Oryzias latipes: one gene and its partner. The protein of the gene in region 1 interacts with the protein of each later gene in a biochemical or structural test. Links are inferred from orthologs where the notes say so. Each region holds a gene or a part of one and is shown on either strand. Other genes may lie near its edges. The genes, in order: bad and pak1.

Region 1 (9,532 bases):
TTGAGATGTACAGGTTACCGACCTCTGGGTTACGGGTTAATATACGCAGCCGCGCGTATCCATAACCTTAACCCTCCTCCGGGTCTGTGCGGCCCAGAAAAAGTTCAGCACTGGCTGCATGTATTTAGAAAATTATGAGCGAAAACACACTTTCTAAAAAGGAAACAAAAGGAACTCCTTAATGCGGTCTGGGGAGGGGGCTGTCAGGTTTCCCGCCTTCCCTGCTTCAAGCCTGTTCAATGTCACGCCCTCAAGAATCATATACCCCACTGTGATTGGTTGGTTCGTCAGCTCCGCGTACAACACTGAAAAAGTGTCATTTATAAAAAAACTGGCGGGACGCACTCACATTAAACTTTCATATTAAGGCGGGGGTCGCAAAATATCATCTTGGAGGCCGCAAATAGCCCGAGGGCAGCGAGTCCCCTGACCCCTGACGTAAACAGAGAGCTCTCAGCAACGGGTTGTGAGAGCTCTCTGGTTGTGGTTGGGAATGTTGGCACAACCACAATCAAAATATACATTTCTAATCAACTACTGCCGCCCTGGATAAACTATGTCCAAGAAAACGACAAAGTATTTTTTGTTTTGGGGTAAAAACAGCATCATCATAATGGGAAATAAAACACTGGAAACGCTTTTACAATAGATCAGAAGAAGACCGGAGTGGGACTTTAAGGTGCTTGGGCTGCAGTAACTTTTTTTAAACACGTCTGTTGTTGCATACGTCTCATTTCATTTTTGAGAAAAGAGTCCAGAGAAGTGTTTTCATTAAAATGTTTTACCATTCAGTCCTTGGGCAAGACCTTTCGCACTACTGTCTATGTAGCAACAAGGGGGCCCAAGTCTGGGTCTCCCTCTGCCGGTCCCCAGCCCGATGAAAATGTAGGGTTGTGTCAGAAAGGTCATCTAGCGAAAAAATCTCTGCCAATGCGAATCATGGAAAGCTGATTCGCTGTGGAAGCCCTGATGGGATATGCCGAAAGGTGGACAACAAGTTTTACTCCCCTTGTTCTGCATGGTCACATGGTCTCATTCAGGTGGTTGGTATCTTGGACTGCACAATACCAGTTTTCATCAAACAATCTTATCGCTGGGAGAAGAAACAGGTCTTACAGGTTTACAAACATCTCAAGAATTTGATAATGGAAAAAACTCTGGTTCATTTGTCTTCAGAGATCTTCTTAAGTTTGTGTGCCGCACAAGTCTTAGTACTAAGAACTTTGTTTGTTTATTGACCTCTAGTTTCAAATTGTTCTAACTTTTGTCCAACCCGTACAAGGGTAATATCCTCTGTAAGAGATTGTTTGTTTCATTGTGTTATAATGTCAATAGAAAAAAATATATTAAATTAAAAAAAACAGTTTACTTGTTTCTGCTAATGTGTCTAAACCAGGCATGTCCAAAGTCTGGCCCATAGGCCAAATGTGGCCTCTGTTAAAATTTCCGCCGCCCACAGGCTCTTGTCAATTATTTGCGTCTTGCAACACTTTCTAAAAACGGTGAGTACGATTTTCTAAATTTTATGGGCTAAATTATGTCAAAAGCAATTAAAAATCTGTGGGACCCTTTTGTGACACTTTCTAGCTCATTTCTAAAATGTCAACTGTAAATTAAATATGTATATTTAATATATATAAATATCCGTGTCTACCTTATATGCCCAGAACTGGTTGTTTTCAAGGAGTTCAATATCTAGATGCACTACAAGATTCATGAGTCATGCTAACTATGTCAAGCTAGCTGGTACAGAATGTTTCATAGTCTTTTAATATGAAATTCGCAGAAAGTTGGGTAAAAATGTATTTAGCTTATTTTCTGTTCTACATGAAGAAATGAAAAGTATGTCGTTGTAATTACGTTTTTATTACATACCGGTAGTTAATTTTAAGTTAATGGTTTTATGAGGGTTCAGTGCTAGCCAAAGTGACGTGAGTTTTAAAAAAAAAAAAAAATTATTAACAAATATTGCACATACAATATACCAAATACAAAACTCCACACTGTGTTCAAAAAACAATTTTCACGTTTGCCAGGAAAATGAACAAAAATTCAAAAAACCATAATAATAACAATGTGAAACAGGTTAAGTAAAAATAAAAAAAAATAATAAAGGCAAAGGAATCTGTTAAAGTTTCAAAGGCACTATGTTTCAACTGTTCTAACAGCTTTTTTGTTAGTGGAGGATTTGATTCTGTTTACATACAGTACCATTTCTTTCTGGAAAACATAAAATACTGGGTTTTGTTAGCATATTTACACATGTGTATAAAATATTTAGTATAAGTAAATTGACTACATATATTTTCTCTGCATTTAATCCCCCTTGTGTAAAATATCCAAAAATAATATGCTCATAGAATAATCTATAATCTTCACATAGATGAGTTCTTATAAAATGTATCAAATCTTTCCAAAATACTTGAGTGAAGGAGCAATACCAAAAAAGATGAGGCACAGTTTCTGGTGAGAAATGACAAAATGAACAGTTTATGTCCCGATCTTTTCTAAATTTAGTAAAGAAATGTTTCACTGGATAAAATTTATGAAGAATTTTAAAAGAAATTTCTTTAATTTCATTGGTGATAACATTTTGGGGCATGGAAAACTTTTCCCACTGCATTCTACAGCCAAACCTATTCCAGTATGAGATAACATGCGGTTTTGTCGCAATCTCATTTTAAAACAGAGAACGGATACTTTGATTATTCCTGCCAGCTGAAAAACACCACAATTCTGTTAATTTGGGAGGAGAAAATGGAGTATTTGAAGGAGAACTGCTACACAGAAGTCTAACACCCCCTGGAATGGCTCCAGTAACCAATGCAAACTCTGCAGGTGAAACATGCAGACTATTGGTGGACAGAAACTCAATGTATGACATCAGGTTACCTTGTGGATTAATCAGCTGTGTCACAAGAGAAATGTTCTTTTCAAACTAATTTTCAAGACAAATACTCTTGTTTTTGTATAGAATATCTGCATTGTTCCAAATATAGTAGCGCTGAGTAGAAAAATTATGTTTGTAGATCAAAGTCTATGCCAATAAAACCTGCTTATGAAAATTAGACAGTTTTAAAGGATTTTTTTCCATTATTAAATTACATAATAAAATAAATGGCAGACCTCCAAGCTTATCAAATATGTATTTTTATATGAAATTCTAAAATGAGGTTTCACTTTTTAAGAAGTTTTTTTAACCATTTCATTTTGATGACATTACTTAGAATGGAAAAGTTAAGAAAGTCAAGTCCTCCGTCTTTTGATGAATTAATTACTACTGATTATCGTACATAGTGGATTCTATTTCTCCAAAGGAAGTTAAAAAGTATCTGATCAATCCTTTTTGCATTTTTACCCTCTTCCCTTCTCTACTTCTGTACCTGTCCCAAGCCCGGTTGCTTTGAGAGGGTTGCGTCAGGAAGGGCATCCGGCGTAAAACATTGCCAAGACTACCATGCGAATCTTCCACTGTGAAGTGGCTGATTCGCTGTGGCGACCCCTGATGGGACAAGCCGAAAGTGAAACAACTGTCCAGAGATAGTGAGGAAACAATGTAGACTAGTCTGGAAATTCCTTCTGCTTTTGCTAAGAGGACGTGACCTTTTTGTAGCCAGCGATTAAACTTATTTTGTGCTTTTGCAATCATAGGATTATAGTTATTCAGTTCTCTTTGTTTTTGTTCTTTAGTTATCTGCAATCCCAAATATGTGACTTTTTCTTTGACTACTATACTATTTATGGATGTTAGAGCACATTGTTTAAGAGGAAATAACTCACATTTCTTTAGGTTTAGATAGGTCCTGATGCTTTTGAAAATGTTTCTATAACTTGAAGAAACCTGTGAGGAGTTTAAGAATAATGATTCATCTGCCAGTTGACTTACAAGAATGTTTTTACCAGCAATAGAAATCCCATCAATATTCTCAATTTTATTTATCTGCAGAAAACGTGTGCAACCAGAAGAAACAGGTATACAGAGACAGTACACCCCTGTTTTATTCCTCTCCGAAGACAGAATCTGCGACTCGAGTAGTGCCAGCACTCAACTTGTGACGTCGTGAGTTTTGGCAGAAAAAAAGGGGGAGGGGTGAAAATGAGGAGCTTTTTGGTTCTGCGCTTCTTCTCTGGTCATTACGGTAACCAGACCAGACAAACAAGTCCTAGCTCGCAACAGTGACGTCAGCGCGCTGCGAAAGTGCAGGGGCGCGCGGCGATTGGGCGAAAGCGGAGCAGGGGTGTAATGTGCCGCGGGCAGAGAACACCAAAACATTAACAACAAGCAGTTTCTGCCGCTCGAAGCTAACTTCGGAGACTCTTTCCCACCTCCGGAGCGGACGCCGCAGAGATTTCGGGTGAGAAAAACTACTTCCAGGAGGTTCTCTTTAGCTGCGCGGAAGGTGGAGGGGACCGCTTCCGCCCTGTATGAAGTTTCTTTTGTCCTCTTGCTCTTCGGTCAACAACAACACAAAACAAACGAGGCAGTGTGTCGACGAAGAGCACAGCTCGCGAGCGCGTTGAACTACGAAAAACAAAGTACGTTATAACATCTTAACGAAGCGCGTGCTGTCAAAGTTGTGTCCTTATCTCGTGGAGTTGTTATTTTTTTAATACCTTTGGACTCAACCACTGATAGGCAGCTGGGTGTGTTACAGGTAGACACATAATTCATTTAGCTAATAGACATTTTATGACTCTAGGAGTGGAAAGTTGGGCCTAGCTCAATTTCTATTTCATTTCGGCTTCAAATGTGAAAGAAAAATAGTATTTGATTTGTGATGGTCTTCGTTTAAAATGATCATCAAGCTTCTCTGGTAGTGAATTATTGGAACAACGTGTCCTCAAAACACCTTTTTTTCTGCAGATGTTACGATGGCAGCAAAGTTCACCATCTCAGACGATTCGGAGTCATCCGAGGAGGTAGAGGGAGGAAAACTTGACCTGGGAGCGGCAGCAGGAGGAGAAGGGGAGCACCTTCATGATCGACATTCCCTCACCCTGCCAGAGCTTCGACTCACAAGTAAGCAGACCAAAAGCATTATGGGAAATGAGAAGCACTTTTAAGAGTTGTTTGAGAAAATTCCAGTCTTAAGGCAGCAGGATTCGGATTTTTTGGGATCCTGAGGTGGAGCGGTTAGCTGTTTTATAGGGTCACTGTATGCAAGAACTGGACTGAGCGACCCCTCCCACCTCACGTTCCAAACAGGAAATCCCTGCTGGCTCCAAGAAGACAAAGTCTTATAGACTTCTATTGCGAAATAATCAACTATTGCTGACTCTATATGATCCTTTTTTTTAATAATTATATTTTTTTCTATAGTGCAAATTATTTCAGTTATAATCTGAGCCTTCAGATGCCTCAATAAAAGCATGTGGTTTCATGTCAAACATTTCACTGACTGATTCTCCCAAATGATAGGGCTGTAGACCTTTAACAAGCTCTCTCCTGATTGGTGAGTGGTTTCCATAGAAACTTTGACTCAGACCAATCAGAGTTTACTAACATTGTCCCACGCATTGCCAACATTTTGGCGACGACATTGACTTTGTTTCATTGGAGCTGGATGGACGGTATTTCCTCACTATACAGTGAATGGCTTGTACTTCAGTTTTTGTTAGGACCCCATATAGAAAAAGCTGTCATTGATAGGGGATGGATAATTTTCTCAAGGATAAACATTGTCTTTAATAAAGCGTTGTTGTTGTTTTTTTTATATTTATGAAATATAAATATGCAGTTTAAATTGTAGTGCCATTTAGATGACACAAAAAGAAATAGACGCTGAAGGAGAAACTAATACCTGCTGGAAGAACAAAAAGGGAACAAAACTTTTCCTAGTGGTAAGGTAATCACTGTCTCACCTAAATGTGAACACAATCAGAGATTGTGTGCAGTCAGTACAGTGTTTTCTTGTTTATCATGGAGTTACATTCTAAATATCGATAAAGTTTGATTCTTTTCATATCCAGACTTTTCTCTCTTTTTTTTAACTCTCAAATCTCAAGCCTTCGTAGAAAATAAGTCCAATATTATAGAATGAAAACAAAGATGTAACTGTGGCACAAATGAGATCCACAAGGTCTACAGCCAATCAGAACGCAGTGTGCTGTATAAAACAATACACATACTGAATTGCACTACAAAGATCCACGAAACAGTGAGACAGCGATAGATGAGCCGCGTAACAGAGTGGGATCACGACCCCAAAAACGTTAAATCTCAAGTTGAGTAGAAAGAGTTTGACTTGTTTTGTTTTGGAAGCTGCTGCTGCATGGAAACTGTCGACAGTGAGACTCTCTGGACTGTCCACACGATTCAGCTCAAACTGCGGATTCTGACGCAGAAAAAGGCAGCTTTGCACCGATCAGCAGCTCACTACTGTAAAGTTTCGCACGGCTGCTTTTCTATGCATCGGAAACAGCTGAAGTGACGTCAATTGTGCGACTGCTTAATGAATTACGGTCGTCGAAAGAGCTAAAGCAGCGGCGTTAAAGGGTTCAACGGCCTCTGGTTGGAGTCTTCTGAGGATGGAGCCGTCAGCATCTGCAGCTGTAGCCTACAATCAACAAAGTGACTAGTAACTGCAGAAAAAGTCACTATTTAACAGTTTTTGAAATGATTTAAAATGGAACAGAACCGGGTTGTCTGTGTTTGCGCACGAATCAGTGGAGCCTCACGGGACGTGGCAAACGTGGCATCAGATACTATTTGTCTGATTGTTATTTTCCTTATGTTTTTAGCTCGTACGTTTCATGGCGCAGCATCATTATATTTGACCAAAACTTTATTTTTTACATTTTTTATAAACTAACAGGCAACATAAAAAGGGGAAAATGAGGCCGAATTCCCTCACTGCTGCCTAACTCCCAATGCATTTTGGGATTGTAGATTCCCCTCATAAGTGGCAATTCAGACACAGCAGAACCCTTGAAGGGGTGTTTCCTCTGTCTTCAGGTCTCCCAGGTTACCCGTACTTTTTCAACGTTCGTTAACATTTTGTCCTTACCTGTCATAAAGGTAACGGGCGTACCAGGCTGAATTCAGAGTCCACCGCTTCCACGTACTCCAGAGATGAGGACCTCGCGCGGGAAGACGAGGCCGGAACCCCCACTGATGGGTTGGCCTTCAGGGGCAGATCCAAGTCGGCCCCTCCGGCTCTGTGGGCCGCCAAAAAGTACGGTCAGCAGCTCCGACGGATGAGCGACGAGTTTGACAGCCTGCTGGATAAAGGGGTAAGAGCGGGTGGCGAGGGGGCGGGGCGGCAGACGAGAGTCGCTTCCCGGATTTGAACGTGACATCTGCCTTGTGCAGGAGATGAGGAAGGTGAGGAGCACTGGGGCGGCCAAACAGATGCTCCACTCCACGAGCTGGTGGAACTACCTCTTCAGCCACCCGGAGGCGGAAGGAGAGTACAGCCACCACGAGAGCCACCGCACTGAGTAAGGATGGAGAGGAAGACTGTTGTGATGAAGGACTCGGAGGAGGACAGAAACCACGGGGGCATCTACACAAGAGGAGGGGTCGACCCACTCAAATACGAGAGGAATGGGAACACTAAGACCGGGCTGAACGGGTCTCCATCTTTGAACTCGCTCATTTCTTTTAAAACATTTTTGTCTTTCTTTGTATTTGACTGTGATGTTTTTTAAAAAAAAAAAAAGCCCACTTGACTGAGAATTTAGACATTTGACACATCAGCGTATACAATGAAATTATCATCAAATATAAGCAATCTACTGCAGGCGGAGAAAAAAAAGGCGCCGACATCCGGCCGTCAGAGGAGATAGAAGTGAAAACTCCTCCTCCTGCGGATGAACGGGGGCGTCTTTTATCTCCGTATGGCGAAGACGGAAAGGGTCAAAGTGCTCGATTTGGGCTCGTCCGAACAATCTCGCAGTGGGACAATCTTCAGCGATGCACAAGTGCTTTCTGGGTAAATCTTCAGGGTTACATCGACGCATCAAACCTGCGATCAAAGGCACAAATCCGAGAACATCGAGTGTAAATACTTTGTGAATATTTTTATGAAAGGACAGGAAGGGCCTGGAGGGGCTTTAAATAGATTATCAGAGGTTCGGTGGGCGTGGCTAACCCTGCAATAGGCTGTGTACAATCCACGGCTGTTGTGATGAGTGAGGAAGGACGACTATACTGCTGTTAACTCTCCGGTCCAGAGGAAGGGCTTATTTAAGAGGAGCAAACTACTTTTGGTCCATAAAGGACAGGGTTTCAATGCCCAGATCTCTGCTTTAGGATGTGAAGGTTATCTTTTAGTCCGTAAACAAACAAAAAGGCTAGTTTTTATCCAATCGCTGCAGCTGGATTTGACGTTTGTGTGTTTTTCTGAGGAAACCGAGATCTTTAAACCTTTTAAAAACGGTTTCTCGTTTATTCTGCTCGCCGTCTTCCTCAAAGTCGGGAAGGTCGCAGACATCTTTGCCAACGTTCCATCACTCGGGTTAGCTCTTTGTAGAGCTTTTTTCTTTTTTCCCCTAAATAAACTCCAGACAATCTAAAACGGTGCTGCATTTTTCTAAAAATGTTCCCAGCTGTTGTGATGTGTTCAATGCCACTACGTTTTTTCTACGTTTATTCTCTGTTTTACGAATATTTCCTAATCACCTCCTTAAAAGGAAAATATTTGTACACATGAGCTGGTAGAGATTATTCGTGGCTCTCGGGTGAAGCGTTTATTCTCGGGAGGTGAAATGTCGCGTCAGATGAAGCGCCTTTTTGAACTTCACAGCCTTAAATCTTTATAGGGACACTGAAGCGGGAAAGCACAAACTCTCAGAGGTGCGTTCACTGCCACAACGGCGAGGGAAACACTTTTGATCGGCTCTCTAGCGGGCGGCGAAGCCCGAACCTGCGCTGGCGGGCGCCTGGAGTTTCCGAAACCATCCTTAGTATTACTTGAATTTTTGAGTGTGTCTAAGAAGGGAAGAAATGCAATTTTAATACATTAAGTGGTTTGTTTTTTGGAATAATTTTTGTTTTTTTTTTATGTATTTTCTCTACAGCTGTCCAGCCTCTGCTGTCTTTAATAAATGATTTTAACAGTGGTTCTTATGAGTTTTTTTTTTTACATTTATTAAAAAATGTTGATGAAAAACAACTTTCCCTTTAAAAGTTTACGGTAACAAAGTCCACAAATAAACGTGTCAGGCCACTTCTGAGGGATCCCAGCAGTACTTGTGTCCACAGTCCAAAGACGACAGCCTCTCCATGTCCGCTTTACTCAACTCAAAGTCAAAAATCCTGCAATTCTCCTCGATTCGTTCAGGATTGGAGGATTTTGGGAGCACCGGGACTCCCTGCTGAACAGCCCAGCGTAGGAGAACCTGCAGGAGAGGCGTACAAACGTTACCGTGCCTGAATAAATGTGCGGTGAATGGGTAGAGACGGGCCATACCTGTGCAGGCGTACGCTTGCAGCTCTCCGCCACTTCGATGACCAGCGGGTCGGCCAGCAGCTCTCCTTTCCCCAGCGAGGAGTACGACTGGAAACACACTCGGGACTCCTCACACACAC
Region 2 (7,954 bases), on another chromosome or scaffold:
TTATAGGATGTAGATGAAAGTGACTGCTGTTGTCATGCTCAGGACATAGGTTATTTATTTATTTAGCCATTTATCTTTTAAAAACAGGCTCTGTGTAGCATCTTCACCCATAAATCCATCATTAAAAAATGACTCCTCTTAACTGCATATTTGTATTTACTTTGAATGTGGGCACATTTGTAAAACGGTATACGATCGGTTAAAAAAGCCGATCCAATTCAAAGTTGAATAAATTATGTATCCCTGTTATGTCATCTATAGTAAGTGTTACATCTACATCTTCTTTACATTTAATTATAATCATTTGTTTCATGTTTGTGTTATTTTAATTGCAATTGCTTGGTATGTATGTTGTTGTTTTTTCAATTATCAATATTTTTGTGGGTACAAGTATTTCTGATATTGGTTCTTTTTGCCCACGTTGTTTGTTTCTGAAGTTTGCAAACATTTACAGCGTAGAACTGACAGCATCGCCTCAACCCCTTCTGTTTTACCATCATTGATGTTCACGCATTTTAAAGAAAGTTTGTTTTTGTTTTTTACTCTTGTGCCAACTTCCAAGTTTATTCCTTCGGAGGTCTAATCAAAAATGAGGATGAAAATCCTGATAAAAATGTTCCTGTTGTTGGTTCTAGTTACCTGGTGGGTGATGAGCTCTGGGTTGTCATGGAGTATCTGGCAGGAGGATCTCTGACGGATGTCGTCACAGAAACCTGCATGGATGAAGCCCAGATAGCCGCTGTGTGCAGAGAGGTAGGACAAGTGGAGCTCATCTTTATTTTGATGGACCTCCTTAAGGCTTAAGCTACAGTCACATGCCTTCAGGAACTCACATTTAGCCCACAGTGTTCACACTGGACAAGCTGGGAGGGGCTTCTGCTGTGCAAACCTGGTGAATTTTGCTCCAGGCTTTTTCTTTAACCGCTCTATTCCATTTTATAAAAGACTTGGTGTTGTATAATTCTGGCCGGACACAAACCGCGATTATTAATTTCTCCTCCGTGATCAACTTTCCAATGATTGGTACTTCAGGAATTAAAAGGGGGCGTCGTGCCACAAACCACTACCAAATCCAAGTCCCTGATTGGTCAAAGGTCGTCTTTGTTTAGATGAACATGACTATTGAGCGCATTTTAAGCACTTTTCCTTTAAAGTGGCCGCTTGAAAGCACGTTGCTGAGGGCAACAGGGACATAGCTTCAGTCACAACTGCCCTTGGGGGTGAATACCGGCTGTCGTAGAGCACTCAGTGAACCTGTAGGGCCAAAATGACATGCTGTTCATGTTATGGACACGCTGTGGGCAGCAGGTTAGAATGAACACTTAGACAACTCGTAAGGATGAAGTAGGTGAGACGCAGGCTTGCCGCATGGATTTTTACATTTTTTTCAACCCCCTCCCCCAAATCCTGCATACTGAGCAGGAAGCCCGTTGGTGCTGTTCACGTGGTTGGGCATGCGCTCCTTGTGATGCAGTTTGACAGTTACGATTTAGTAATTACAGCGAAGTTTTTGTAGGCGTTCCACGAGGGTCCTACAGCCACTTGCATATCACGTGCACACCCGCTCGTGCAGTATTTCCGCGCTGTTAATTAGGAGTGCACTTTTCTAACAACAAGAGTGTGGCGTAAGGGCGCTGTACGACAGCATCATAAGTGCATGTCGCTTACATTATCCTTGAAAATAATTTGCGATAAATTTACCACACGTACGACAATGGAACGTTCCATTTTCACGACATCTCTCGAGGTGCAGCCACTCCTGTCTATGACCCTCCACGGCCCCGAAAAACCCCCAAAACGCACAACATCCGCGAAGCTACGGTCTCACCACCCTCAGCAACGTGCGTTCAAGCGCCCACTTCTATTAAAGAGTCTATGTAAACGGGCGTCTATGCGCATTTCGGGCTTCTGCGTTTGAAACTTTCCCATTCATGTTTCTATGACTGTTTTTCGGCCTCTACATACAAAACACACAATCTTAGTACAGTTGAACCAAGTCGAACTTTGACCAATCAGGAACTCGGATTTGGTAGTGACGCATGGAGGACATCCTCTTGAATTCCTAAAAATGTCAACCTGGAGGAGAAATCAATAATTGTGGTTTGTGTCTGGTTGAAATTCTATCACACATAGTGTTTCATATATATCGGAATGGAGCTGTGAAATAAAAGGCCTCGAGCAAAATTCACCAGATTTGCAGCTTTTCCACATTTGGACATGCACTGGTAAGCATTAGGAAAAGAAGAAGCCCCCCCCTGCTCGTCCAGTGTGAACACCAGATGCTAAACACGTGTTCAAGAACGCGAATCACATGCCCGGTGTGAACATAGCTTAAGGGTCAACGACCCTGTTTGGGTGCATGTGTCTAAGGCTTTACTATCAAAAGTGTTTGTTGTTTTGGTGCCTCATGGGTAGGAGGGTTACTCTACTTCCTGTTCAGTGTCTTCAGGCCCTGGAGTTCCTTCACTCCAACCAGGTCATCCATCGGGACATCAAGAGCGACAACATCCTGCTGGGCATGGACGGCTCTGTCAAACTCAGTCAGTGGCCTTTTGGTTTCTAGATCTGTTCCAGAATAAACAGCAGATTTGTTCTCCAAAAGGTGAACTCACTAATTCTTCTCCTTTCGCCTCTTCCAGCTGACTTTGGCTTCTGCGCTCAGATCACGCCGGAGCAGAGCAAGCGCAGCACCATGGTGGGGACTCCATACTGGATGGCTCCGGAGGTCGTGACTCGCAAAGCGTACTGCCCCAAAGTGGACATTTGGTCTTTGGGCATCATGGCCATCGAGATGGTTGAAGGAGAGCCACCATACTTAAATGAGAATCCTCTTAGAGTGAGTTTGATTGATTTTTTTTTTTAAACAAAAAGGTTTTCGTCTTCAACCTAAAAAGCTAAATCCTGATGGATTCTTTTTAAATCTTTCTTTCTGCTATGGATCCATCCTGGATGAAGGAGAGTCTTCAAACGTTTTCTTTTTTCACTTTTAGGATTTTTATTTATGTTAACCAGAAAGATTTTTAATCTTCTGTAAGTCCATTTGAGGTTAGTCAACACTTTCTTCTGGTTTTGGTTTAGGAGTTTGTAAATCAGCATCGTTGTGAGGTTTTGTTTAACTCGCTTTTAGCTGCACTGAGGGCTTTATGTCTGGATCTGACTGTTTTATTCTTACATATTTTGATTGAAAATTGTTACTTGTTATCTGGTTTATTTTATTTTTAAGCATTTAATAACTTTTGTCCTAAAAAAATGATTCTAAATCCTATTTTTATGCCTATCAGCGCTTCCTTTAGGGGGTTGGTACAGACCAGAATCCTCAAAACAAAAACGTCTAAACAGCTAATAAGTGATTCATTAGCCAAAATTAGAAGTATACATAATATATGCATATATAACAATATGCATATGCCATTTTTGCAGTTTGAAATTCAAAATAAAAACGCTTTATTCGTTACGATGGACATGCTGAAGAACACTGTGACCTTAAGGGTAGTTTTTGTGGGATTTCTGCCTCTTAAACTGCCACTAGATGGCACCAAAGCACCTCTCTGGATCTCTTTTTCACTGTCCAGCTCTCTAAGGGAGGAAAATATCCTTTTTTCTGTTTTGCAGGCGCTTTATCTTATTGCAACCAACGGGACCCCAGAGCTGCAGAATCCAGAGAAGCTGTCAACGATATTCAGAGACTTCTTAAACCGATGTCTGGAGATGGACGTGGAGAAGAGAGGCTCTGCTAAAGAGCTCCTGCAGGTAAACCCGCGCTAAGAAAATCCTTTTTCACAGTACAGAAACAAACAGAAATGTTATGAAACGGACCAAAGTTTAGTCAAATACGCTCCACTGTCACCATTTTAAGGCCTTAAGAAAAACATATCGGTCATTTTACACTTTTAATAAATGAAAATGTTTAAAAAAAGACTTGAAGTAAAATAAAAGAAAGCAGAACATTAAGATTGTTATAGAGGATTCCAGCACACTTACACAAGAGATCAATGTTGATCATGAAACTATTTTGACAAATAATTTCTGTTTAAAAATTTTAATGAGCTAATTTATTTACCTGAAATTCAGCACATATACTTATTATAATAAATTAAATTACAATTTTCCTATTGTAGTATTTGACCATTTATATATTTTAATATTTCTTTAGCTTCATATCTCACAGACCCTTGATCAACCTGCTGTTTTATCTCTTCTCTTTCTCCCCCCCTTCCTGCATCCTTTCATCCTTTGCGCCCCGACTCCTTTCACCACCTTTGCCCTCCCTGGGTTCCCGGTGTTCTTCTCACAGCATCAGTTTCTGAAGATGGCGAAGCCTCTTTCCAGCCTCACCCCCCTGATTCTCGCAGCCAAGGAGGCAGCCAAGAACAACCGCTAGCTAGCTAGCTAGCTTTGTTTTTCTCCCCCACCTCCTCCTGGCGTCCGGCGTCGTTCACAGGAAGGTGGCGTTGTATGTGCTTCTGGCTGGATTATGACGTTCTTCAAACGCCTTCCGTCTTTGTTTTTTGTAAAGTTGCTTCGACTGTTATTTTCCTCCACTCTTACCTTTGACCCCTGAGTCTTGACCCCCCCCCCTCCTGCACATCTCCTGGGGAGAACGAAGGATGAACTTCAGATCGCTGTGGAACAGAACATCTCAACGGAGCCCAAAGAAGTGAAACGGCGTCCCGGTCCAGCACAGCCAGCCTTTACGTGTGCGTGTGCGAGAGCTTTTAGTCGGTGAAGCTGTAGGTACTTTTATCTGTTGTCACGGTAACGCACGTGTTGGTCCCTTGCTGCCCGCAGCATCACCTCCTGTAGGTTTAGGTGTATATCCGGAGAGGTTTAGTTTTGTCTGAACGCGGCTGCGCCCAGAGCCACTGATGGATGGAGTTTGGACATAGAATCTCGGCGCTGCTCACAGAGGGGGCGGATGGGGTTTTTTTTGGGCAGATGGGGGTTTTTAGGGCAGTTTTGCTCAATTTTATAGGCTGAGGCCTTTATCCTCTTCAGAATCCTCTGGATCAGGAAAAATGCTGGCTTTTGGGAGGTCAGTGTGAAAAGCTGATTTAAAGTCATTTTTAAATGTTTTTAAGAGGATTTCTAGAAAAAAAAAGACAAATAAAATGATTCAAATGGATATCAGTAAGTTCAACCAAAAACAAAGCTTTTTGTGTAGTATTTTAGGTAATAAGATGATTCCTCCAGTGACACATTGACTTAAAAACACCTACGGCATTCAGCCAATACCTAAAAAATATGAAATAGTAATTGTGAATATCCTTGCAGAAACCTGAAACAGCATTGAATTGTAATGAGTTCCGATCATCTAAGGTTACTTTTGCTCATTGGGGTCAATATGTTAGGTTCTGCATTTGTTTTTGCTTTTTTTTAGTGATCCATTAAAATAGCCTTTTTAGTATTTCGCGATAAATGTACTTTTTGTTTTTATTTGTAGTTTTGTGTTATGACTTTTGATAGAAACAGATACTAATAACATCATCAAATTAAAAAGTTGAACAGCTTTGTTCTCTGTGCGTTTTGGTTAAAGAAAAGTAAAAAAAAAAATCAACTTTTGGTCATTTTTTATGTAGTTTGTCTTTAATTCCATATCTTTGTTTGTGGCGTGGTAAAAAGGCGGTAGGCAGAGGATATTTCCCCCTTTTCTTTTATGTTAGAGTCCTGCGCTGTGGATCTTTCTGTCCCTCAAAGGTTTTTCATTGTGAAGCTGCGTTTGCGTTTTTTTCCTGCGGCAGACACCTGATTGATCCGCGATAAACAGAACCAAACTGACAGGATCTGACAGACCAGGAGCAGTTTCCTTCGCTCCCCGAGAGATCACATCTCACTCTGATGATGACGTCCTGTCTGCCTGACATGTGAACACTGATAAACGCATTTATCCGGCTGCTCTGCGTCACATTTGTGCTGCTTTAAATAAAAGGCCGGCCTCGTTTTGGGCTTGTTTCAGCATTTAATGGCTCAGCTCAGTTTCCCACTTTTGCTTTAATGAGAAGCTTCATCTGTTTGAGGTAGATATGAATGATGTGAACTTTAATCTGGTTTCCCTTAATTATTCTGGAAAATGGAAACAAATTCCAAACATTTTCATAATGTAACTGTCAAGCGATTGAGCTCGACTTATCCTCCGGATGAAAAGTCGTGTTATTTAAAGCTCTGTGATGTGAAATGGGCTCGCCGAGGTGCAGGGCGCCCTGCCTGTCAGGCGCCGCATTAAAAAGGTTAATATCTGAATGAAGGAGGAAAATGAGGTTTAGGGGGGGGGTACTGTCAAGCTGGCTCCATCTGCGGCTCTGGGACGTCACAGTCTGTGGGCTCGTTGAGAAGCTGTGATGACGAGAATGTGCATGAAAACCTTTTTATACGGTATGCTTAAGAGGAAACGCAAAGTCAAGTATGAAAGCCCTACAATGGAAATGAAAGAGACTGGTGTACGATGGGGGAAAACACAACTTCATCCTATTTTCAGAAGAAACTTGAGAAAACGATGAAGGCACTGTGTTGTTGTTGTTGTTGGTTTTTTTGGCCTGGAGCCCCGTGAACACAATCTGTTTATTTTCTGTGCTAAAGAACAAAATAAATCCGTCTTTTCCCAGTTTTTCCTTAAGGACTGCGCTTCTGGTTGTCGTCAAAAAGCTTTTTTTTTTGTTCTTTTCTGGAAAACAAAGACTAAAACTGTCACTTTGATTTCTACTTTTAAAGGTTTGTTAAAGATTTTGTTGTTGTTTATTGTAGTGACTATGTGACTCTGGCCTTAAACTGTGTCAAAGGTGCAATACTGCTTTTGTAACAGTCTGATGGTTGTGATACACTGCAATATTTTATTTGATTTGATTTGATTTTAAAGTCCCACTCCGATCATCTTTGGATCTAATTTCAAAGTGTCCCCAGTGTCCTTTTGATTAGGATTATGCTGTTTTGAGCCTAAATTTTAAAAAACTGTGTCATTTTCTAGGACAAAGTTTCTGCAGAGCGGCTGGAGTTCATTAAAAAATTCCCCGATGGGTAGTTGCTGTGAAGCAACTCCGCCCCCACTTCCCATCACTGTTGCTGAGAGCTCAGAGCAGGCAGTTTGAGGCCCGCTCAGCTTATTTTCTGCAAACAATCTTTTTTCATCTTTTTTTGATTCACAACGATTTAAATAAAGAAATACTGTGAAGCAGAATTTCAAGCTTAATTTTCTGTGTAAGTGTCTCGAATCAAAAAAGATGCCATAAGAATGTGTTAAAAACACAACTTTCATAGTAGTGGGACTTTAAAGTCTTTTTTTTGGTTTTGTTTTTCCCATTACAGCCTTTGAAAATCAAAATGATTGGAAAATGCCCCAAAAGTAAAACACTGAGCTGGTTTGAAGAGGATTTTTCTCACTTCAGCGTTAAAGGAGAAGCACAGTCCAGTTCCTCGATTGGTTGAAACTGCAAACGCTGTCTGAGGAACTCTGAAGCTGTGAGCGTTAGCATCCTTCAATGAAACCTTTATGAACACACAAACCCCCCCGGCTCAGAGACAAACGACGCCCGGTTCCCACATTAGACTGACATCAGGTATAAATGTTAGGAAAAGCTGCCCTACATGAAAAGGTCAATGGAAAGCACAAGAATGGTACTTTTTAAACGCCTTAGGATGACTGTGATGCTTAAAAAAATCCTTAACGTTCACATTAGTCAAAAATCCTCTTTTTTTTTTTTCTGTCATGTTGGATTTCTTTCTGTAAAAACACTGATGTCTAACACACAGTGGACGATGTTTGCACTAAGTGTAATCAGAACATTTGAACCCGTTTGTGGAAAAGAAAGAAAGGCTCAAACCCCCCCCATCGTTTAGGTGTTTGATCTCTTTTGGAAAAAGACAAAACAAAAATGGCTGCCGGCTTTATAATGTTGCACAATCTTTGTCACGCCTCCGTTTCCTTACAGTGAAAAGCCCATAAAGCCTTTTCACGAGGAAACGC

Evidence for each region.
Region 2: of the proteins of bad (region 1) and pak1, one has a biochemical effect on the other in vitro, tested with the Homo sapiens proteins (3 studies listed by BioGRID). The link is inferred for Oryzias latipes from reciprocal best matches to the Homo sapiens genes BAD and PAK1.

Annotation. Positions count from the first base shown.
Region 1 is NC_019876.2:12,863,512-12,873,043, forward strand, and holds bad (bcl2-associated agonist of cell death), read left to right. Parts: upstream 1-4,361; 5' UTR 4,362-4,536; intron 4,537-4,864; 5' UTR 4,865-4,872; coding exon 4,873-5,020; intron 5,021-7,018; coding exon 7,019-7,233; intron 7,234-7,312; coding exon 7,313-7,444; 3' UTR 7,445-9,063; downstream 9,064-9,532. Other genes in the region: uncharacterized protein LOC101172196, read right to left, coding at 9,163-9,342, 9,414-9,532. UniProt on the Homo sapiens protein: Promotes cell death. Successfully competes for the binding to Bcl-X(L), Bcl-2 and Bcl-W, thereby affecting the level of heterodimerization of these proteins with BAX. Can reverse the death repressor activity of Bcl-X(L), but not that of Bcl-2.
Region 2 is NC_019871.2:4,549,627-4,557,580, forward strand, and holds the end of pak1 (serine/threonine-protein kinase PAK 1), read left to right. Parts: intron 1-635; coding exon 636-753; intron 754-2,440; coding exon 2,441-2,540; intron 2,541-2,639; coding exon 2,640-2,836; intron 2,837-3,612; coding exon 3,613-3,750; intron 3,751-4,294; coding exon 4,295-4,381; 3' UTR 4,382-7,168; downstream 7,169-7,954. UniProt on the Homo sapiens protein: Protein kinase involved in intracellular signaling pathways downstream of integrins and receptor-type kinases that plays an important role in cytoskeleton dynamics, in cell adhesion, migration, proliferation, apoptosis, mitosis, and in vesicle-mediated transport processes.